Linked DNA regions of Nothobranchius furzeri. The protein of the gene in region 1 interacts with the protein of each later gene in a biochemical or structural test. Links are inferred from orthologs where the notes say so. Each region holds a gene or a part of one and is shown in the gene's direction. Other genes may lie near its edges.

What was found. The genes of interacting proteins can lie anywhere in the genome.
Region 2: of the proteins of dapk3 (region 1) and pawr, one has a biochemical effect on the other in vitro, tested with the Homo sapiens proteins (2 studies listed by BioGRID). The link is inferred for Nothobranchius furzeri from reciprocal best matches to the Homo sapiens genes DAPK3 and PAWR.

The regions. Positions count from the first base shown.
Region 1 is NC_091751.1:45,573,910-45,578,143, forward strand, and holds the start of dapk3 (death-associated protein kinase 3), read left to right. Parts: upstream 1-1,386; 5' UTR 1,387-1,503; intron 1,504-2,282; 5' UTR 2,283-2,326; coding exon 2,327-2,388; intron 2,389-2,997; coding exon 2,998-3,358; intron 3,359-3,550; coding exon 3,551-3,680; intron 3,681-3,816; coding exon 3,817-3,865; intron 3,866-3,973; coding exon 3,974-4,000; intron 4,001-4,081; coding exon 4,082-4,234. UniProt on the Homo sapiens protein: Serine/threonine kinase which is involved in the regulation of apoptosis, autophagy, transcription, translation and actin cytoskeleton reorganization. Involved in the regulation of smooth muscle contraction.
Region 2 is NC_091741.1:40,729,487-40,733,592, reverse strand, and holds the start of pawr (PRKC apoptosis WT1 regulator protein), read left to right. Parts: upstream 1-1,293; 5' UTR 1,294-1,433; intron 1,434-1,656; 5' UTR 1,657-1,787; coding exon 1,788-2,312; intron 2,313-4,106. UniProt on the Homo sapiens protein: Pro-apoptotic protein capable of selectively inducing apoptosis in cancer cells, sensitizing the cells to diverse apoptotic stimuli and causing regression of tumors in animal models.

The DNA.
Region 1 (4,234 bases):
ATTGTGCACGTTATTTTAATTGATAGCAATTTATTGAATAAAATATGTCATTGCGTTCAGGTAGCGTAGCGATCATAGACTGTAAATACTAGGTAGCGATGTACCATTAGAAAGGTTTATTTTTGATTTGTTGTAATGTCACTAAATCGCCACCAGGTTGCGATAAATTCAGCGGAAACAGCAGCCAAAGAAAGAAGACCTTAGCACGTTGGCATGTTCACAGTTGCGACAGTTTTCTTTTTGAAAGTTCTCTTAATTTATAGTAATTTATTGAATGGAATTTTTGTTGCGTTTTACATGATTAGTTTACGATGTTATGATTTTTGTTCCATCAGGAAGCGTAACCATAGAAAAGGTTTATTTTTTAATTGTAATTTCAACTATTTACCACCAGGCGGCGACAGACGTCACACAAGCAGCGTCAAAAAGTCAAGGAAGAGAAACCGTTTTCTTTTCCTTTTGCCTTCTTCAGATAGCTCTCACTGAAAGCTACAATTGATTTGAAAATCATACATTCATTCATCCATTTTTGGATGGATTTTCAACAGATTTTAAAATCAACCCCTCCTAAACATTTAGAGCCAAAGCTAAGACTTACCTAATAGGTGAAAAAATTAAACCCCATAATTAGAAAAATAGGCATTTTTAAAAAGACGTCTTGTCTAAGCTCACTAAATCCCCACAAGAGGGTGACATTTATCCAGCAATGTCGTAATAATAAATGCAAACAAAAAAAGTAGCACCTTCTGTTGTCACAGACTGAATGATTATGTAAAGACACAATATTTTGGAAAAACCTAATTCTACGTTTAACTAGTTGGAATCAAGGCGCAGTCCACTGGATCCGCGCTACCTGTCCAGTGACCTTCCAGTGCGCGCTCCTGACAGACTCCTTGGCTCTAATTAGCTTGGCTCGTATGCTCGTAACCAATATTTTGTAAACGTTCGTGTATGGATGATTGTTCATTTCCCAGCCATTATATAAAAATAAACCAACATTTTCTACATGAAACTTTCTGCCATGTGAACCAAGGTTTTTTTTCTTTCCACTGTTCCTCATTAGGAGCCTTAATCATTGCAGTTGCGTGCTCAATCTTGTTTTTCAGACGTAATTCAGTCAATTCTCTCAGCCTGATGTCATTCCATATGGCCTTCCTTCTGTCCTGTTGGATGTTTACCTTTGTCAAGTTAAACGTCAGCACCGGAAAATAAGTTATGCTAGATTTCACAATAAAGTTTAAAAGCATTTAAATACACCAAATCTATTATATACTTTCCAATTTTCCAAACAAAACATACAGACCAGAATAAACTGAATAAAACAAAATTCTTACAAAATTTATTTTTAAAATACCACATTTATTTCAGGTTTTAAATACTTATTTTGACACAACAAACCGGAAGCGTGTTGTTTGGCTGTGGCTAAACTGAAACTGCTCAGACCAAAGATCCGCTCGCCCAGTTCCCAGGATAAGGAATGCAGCGCTGGTAGCCATCCATACCGTGAGTAACTATTTTGTTGACTTCAGATTCTTAGGGTTAACTGTGTATTATAAAAATGTACTTTTAGTATCTAACAATAAACGTATTTATGCTAAAGTATCAGGATACGGAGGTGTGGTGAAAACAAAGACATCCCGGCCGGTGTTTTTTACGCTAACTTGTTAACCAGTACAGCTAGCTGTCGTCTGTGGCCACGGTTTAATTTAGTTCTTCTCATATCATTCTAAATATGTTACTATTGAATAGATGTTTGTCGACTTTATTCTCCTAGCTGCGTGTAATAAAGCTCTTTAGTCGGGCTGTTTTTATTAATAGTTGTCGGTGAGGAAGGTCTGTGTTGCTGGCTTCTCTGACACAACAGCCGGATGTTGTAGCTTATGCTTTTGCAAAAGCCCTTACACTATACAACTTATCTGCAGTTGTTCTAAACAAACTTTAAAACATGTCTGTGTGGACAAATTCCAGCCCCTTTAATCGAGCCAGAGTTAGCTGGACCGGGACAGGAGGTGATGTCAGTAGGACTGGTATGCAGAGGTCTGACATCAGCCTAAAGTCTCTGAGAAAAAAAAAACACTGAAGCTGTGTTGATTAGAACCAAATAAGGAGGGAAGAAGTCAAGGTCATAAGGGGTGATTTACCATTTTTGGACTGAACAATACTCCGATGCTTTGTAATGAAAGCTTACAGCTGTAATCGTCATATTGATTGTGTTTGTGCCACATTTTTAATCGTCAGTATGTTATTATTTACGTGCGTCTAACTTTTCTCCTTTGCTGTAGGAAGTTTTTAAGGCATCTCTCCCATCATTGTTCGAGTCAGCACCATGGCTGGCTTCAGGCAGGAGGATGTAGAGCTGTATTATGAGATGGGGGAGGAGCTGGGCAGGTAAGAACAGCATCAAAAACATCATGATGCTTTAAATTCCTTCTTTTTTTTTTTTCCTCAAATGTGTGCTTGGAAAAAAACAATTGTGTAATTCTGAGAACTGAAGGCAGATCAGGCACAAGATGCTCAGTTTCAACCTCATCTGACCCAAAGCTCAGCATCCAAACTGGGCTAAATAATTTTTGCATTGCACCAGCAACAATAAAAATAATCCTACATCCCTTTATGCTGTGCTGGACAGTTCTGGAGATGAGTCAACATTTTTTAAAGATTAAACCCACCTCTCTGTATTAGCTGGTTTTCTTCTGCAGTAATGCAGCAAAAGTGTGACATCAAGTCCACCAAGTGTGTCCTTCCACCTCGGCTTTGTCTCCAAAGATGAGAACGCTGTGAGTTTGCCAAGACAAGCTGCACATATTAAGTGATGGAGAATGGACTGCACTGTAAAATGCTGTGTGCTTCTTTTTTCTGTTGTTAAATTGCATTAATCTAAACTTATCTATTTTCTGGTAGATTACCTCCTCATTTATTGGGCAGTTTAAATCTCACCCTAAAATATTCTAACACAATTTGTTGATGCAGCGTCTCTCTCATCCTTTCCCTCTGCAGTGGGCAGTTTGCCATCGTCCGTAAGTGCAAAGAGAAGAGCACGGGTATCGAGTATGCAGCCAAATTCATCAAGAAGCGCCGCCTGTCGTCCAGCCGGCGGGGTGTGAGCCGTGAGGAGATTGAGCGCGAGGTCAACATCCTGCGGGAGATCGAGCACAGCAACATCATCACCCTGCACGATATCTTCGAAAACAAGACGGACGTCATCCTGATCCTGGAGCTGGTGTCCGGCGGGGAGCTGTTTGACTTCCTGGCTGAGAAGGAGTCTCTGACCGAGGAGGAGGCCACGCAGTTTCTGAAGCAGATCCTGGACGGAGTTCAGTACCTTCACGTCAAACGCATCGCCCACTTCGACCTGAAGGTCAGCAGCCTAAAGGGAAGCTGGGGATGTAAAATATTTGGCAGAATCAGAGTTTAGACGTTTTTATCAGAACTACTAACGAGCACGACTTTAATGATGTTTCTCAGAGCGACAAATATTGATTAATGATATTGGAACAACAATTAAAAATGTTTTCACATCATTTTCTTTTATTCTGCTTTAATATTTCAGCCTGAGAACATCATGCTTCTGGACAAGAATGTGCCCAACCCCAGGATCAAGCTGATCGATTTTGGGATCGCTCACCAGATCAAAGCTGGAAACGAGTTCAAAAACATCTTTGGAACACCAGAGTTTGTCGGTAAGAACCCACAACCTAAAATTCAGCTGACGTTCTTCCAAGCAGGCCTCTCAGCTAAACCATGTAGAGTGGAAGATTTTCCCCCTCAGATCACATCTGGTTTGAATTAAAGCGCTCATTCCTCTGTTCTTTACAGCGCCAGAAATAGTCAACTACGAGCCACTTGGCCTGGAGGCAGACATGTGGTAAGATGCCATTCTGTACCTTTTTTCCCCCCCTTCTCATCAGAAGTTTTTTTACTAAACCGTCTGATGCTTCCCCTCCTTATTTTACCTGTCTCCTCTTGTCTGCAGGAGCATCGGAGTGATCACGTACATTCTGTGAGTAACGCATCACATCACGTCTGTCTGTTGAGTCACTGTGGTCTTGCGAGGTCTACATCCAACTCTGTCCCACCTTAGGTTGAGCGGCGCATCGCCATTTCTGGGTGAGACCAAGCAGGAGACTTTAACCAATATTTCTGCTGTTAACTACGACTTTGATGAGGAGTATTTCAGCAACACCAGCGAGCTGGCCAAGGACTTTATACGCCGTCTGCTGGTCAAGGATCCAAA
Region 2 (4,106 bases), on another chromosome or scaffold:
TGTCTATGGATTAGAACAGATGGAGCATTGTTTGCTATCATTAAAGTCTATAAAACAATGTATTTGATCAACTTATTATTTTATTTTTAAAGAAAGTTTTTGTTTTTAGTCTGTTTCTGTTTGTGAGACCTTTGGCCTTTTAACCCAGGATTTTATTCCAGCTTTTTAATAAGCAGAGTTATAAGAAGCTACAAGACTTTTTAAAACAAAATGTATATATATTTTTTTCAATTTTGATTTTGTGAATTTTTTTTACTTTTAAACATAAAACATTGTTGGTACATTTTTTTTATTTAAAATGTAACCCTTAAGGACCCAAACCCTTTTGAGATAAAAAAAAACTGATTGGAGTAAATACATAAAAATGTAGAAAAACATAAATTAAAATAAAGAAGTAAAATGATTTTTGATATACTGTATGTGTAGGATGTCACTTGGAGTTGTCAAACTTGAAAATATGACGCAAGAAGCAAGTTTGAAATTGGATGTGACACAGTGTCACCACGAGTTCATCTTAAGCCTTTTGGTTTTTTGGAAATAGTTTAAGATTTAGGCAATGAGCAAGATTTAACATGCAAAACTGGTTAAATATGGCCTCTGCTTCCAAGATGGTTAAACCTCCCTTTTTATTATATATATTTATGAGGGTTTAATATTATCATTATCATCATCATTATTATTATTATTATTATTATTATTATTATTATTATTATTATTGTCATAATTGTTATTATTATTGTTGTCATTATTATTTTTTTATGATCATCATCATTATTATTATTATGATTGTTTTCATTATTATTATTATTATTATATTATTGTTGTTGTTGTCATTATTATTATTGTTATTATTATTATTATTATTGTTGTCATTATAATTATTATTTTATGATCATCATCATTATTATTATTATTATTATTATTATTGTTTTCATTATTATTATTATTATTATTATTATTATTATTATTATTGTTGTCATTATTATTATTGTTGTTGTTGTCATTATAATAATAATAATAATACTTATTATTATTATTATTGTGATAATAATAATAATAATAATAATAATAATAATAATTATTATTATTATTATTATTATATTTAGAGCCACTTGAGTCTCCAGAGCAGCAGACTCATTTTCTCTACCTGTGCGTCGCAACGGTACAAAAACAACAATTTGTTCCCCTATTTAAACACTGACTTCTGACTTTGGGTGTTTATTTGATCAGTCAGATCGCGCGCGCGCTCCCCGCGCGCCGCTGAGGCGCTCCACATAGCGCGGGTGCATCTTTCAGTACAACACCGGAAGTGCCGCAGCTCCCAGGCTCGTGTCCTGTCCCACAGCGGCTCCCAGTGCTTTTCATCAGAGCCGAAAGCGGTCACACCTGGTCGGACCCAGAAGAGCAGTTGGAAGCCGCTCCGCTCCGTCCAGGTGAGTCTCTCCGCCGAGTTTATCCCGCTTTCATCAACTTTTGCGGGTGTTATTTAGTGAGAAGACAGAGTTAACTAAAAAGTGCGCGGCAGCAGCGAAGAAACTTAGTGGTGCGTTTCCAGCTGAGCGCGACACAAACAGGGCCATAAAAAACGAGCTTACAGCTTTTATTAAGTGTCGTTTCGGTCTGACTTGACCTTGTTTTCCTCCGACCTGTCAACAGCTCCAGAGGTAATCGCGTGAGGAATGTGGTGTCACCAGGGAGCTGCCGAGTAAACTCACGTCTGTGCGCCTCTCCACCTCAAGTTAACTCCAGAATCAAACAAACAAATAATTACACATCAAGGGATCCTCATGGCCACGGGCGGATTTAAGTCGAACCCAACCACAAACATCCTGGAGGAGTGGAAGGCGAAACGCGAGAAAGTCAGGGCGAAAATGCTGGGTGACATCGCTGCAGCCACCGGAGTTCCCTTGAGCCCCAGCGCCAACAACCGCCTGGGAGCTCCTCCCGGCGCGGACCTCACCGGCAGCCCGGACTGGAGCGCCTCTGCTGCGAACTGCCACACCCCCTCCTGCCCCGGCGTAGCTCCGAGCAGACCCGAGGAGGACGCGCACCACCCCGCGGCACCCTCAGCCCCGGCGAGCAACCTGAAGAAGGCCCCGCCTCAGCCAGACAAGGCTCCGGGCGCGTCCCCGGACTCCAGTCTGATGGCTTGCAACGCCAGCGACAAGGAGAGTCCGTCACCCAGCAAGGGCAAGGAGAAGAAGAGCTCTGGTCCCAGTGCACGGAAGGGGAAAGGGAAAGGGCAGATCGAGAAGAGGAAGCTAAGGGAAAAGAGGAGATCAACAGGTGTGGTGAACATACCTTCCAACGAGGTGAGTCAGTCCAGCTGGGCTTCAGTGTTCATCCTCAGGAGATCTTGCTCCTGCTGCAAGCTGCATCACTGGAGGCAACATTTGGATGAAAGTGAACAAGATAAAGTAATTCTTAAATAACTGCATTAAATGGTGGATGCTTGTCTCAAAGGTTGGCAATCATCCAGCAAAAGTTCATTTCAGAAAGAGACAAGAAAGCTTTAATAAAAGTTAAGTCTGCCCTGGCCTTCAGGAGGGCTTGGAGAGGACCTTCAGGGGTCAGGTCAAAGGTTATCCAAGGGGAAATGTGTCAAATTATCAGTATTTCCTAAAATATTAGAGTCACCTGAGGAAATTGTCTGAAAATCAGATTTAATGTCTTACTTTCTTAACTGTTTTTTATATTCTAGGTTTGATTTTATTAAGTGTTGCTGATGTTATGAACATACCTGAAGGGAACAGTGTGTATTTCCCCCATGAAACTACAAAAAACAAGGTTGAGAGCAGCCTCGTTTCCCCTAAGAGACTGCAGATTCCTCTCATGCATGTGTCTGGTTTAATTGCCCCTCTGCAGAGAGAAAAATGAAAAGCAGCCCTGGGAAGGGGGTGGAGTTGGCGGCTTCTGGAAGTGTTTGGAGGCGGTTGTGCCTCTCATTGTTTTTGAATTTAAATCATGTCGCACTCCTAATTCCTGCAGTTCCGACGCTTCGCAGCAACTCGGATCTGAAGCGGTGCCAGTGAGAGCCACCACAGTGATAATGTACTCACGCACTCTAAAAGCTCTTAAATTATACAGAAATGTTGAAAATGAGTTTTTTTCCCCCTTATTATTGAAGGTATTTCTGTAGAAGTGGTCCATAACGTTCCCATTGGCCCAATTAAACAGCCACCCAAGACTCTGTGCCTTTGGGCATCAGGACTTGGAGGTGGACCAGTTCTGCAGTTGGCTCTACATCCTGTTATGAAGGACTGTTGGAGAACTGGTCTCAGGCCAGAGGTGGGACGCTGGGCATGTTTGGTTTTTCCCAGATAAGTCCGATGACTTCCATAGGCAGCAGTCTGTGTGGTAAAGTTTGTGGACGGACTATAATTTAGGAAATCTGAGGTGAACTTTTGCACATCCTGAATGGAACACGTTGATCTGAGTAAGTAGCACACTGTGTGTATCTACATAACCCCTCACTAAACCAGCGGGAGCACATTTGTGCAACAAGCTTTGAAACACTTGTTCAGCTTTATTAGGAGACACGTGCACATTTTCCTCCTCGGCTCAGATACAGATCATAACTTTGCACATTTGCAGGTACTTTAGGTGCTCCTAAAGACTTAGACTACTGTAACTCTCTTTTCACGTGTCTGAGCAGAACCTCCCTGAACCGTCTACAGGTGGTTCAGAATGCCTGTGTTCGGCTTCTGACCAAGTCCTCCAAACACACCCACATCACCCCGCTTCTCCTCCAGCTTCACTGGCTGCCAGTCAACTTCAGGGTTCATTTCAAGATCCTGGTTCTGGTCTATAGAGCCTTACATGGACAAGCACCATCTTACATTGGTGATCTTCTTAGTCCCTACACCCCCAGCAGGTCCCTGAGGTCCAGTGATCAAAGCCTACTGGTTGTGCAGCACCAGGCTAAAGACCAAAGGTGACAGATCATCCGCTGCTGTGGCCCCCAGACTCTGGAACTCTCTCCCCCTGAGCCTGAGATCAGTGGACTCAGTGGTCTCCTTTAAAAAGCAGCTGAAGACTCACTTGTTCAGGCTTTGGTGTGACCTTCATCACCACCCTCTCCTTATTCTGTTCTTATTCCACCTTTC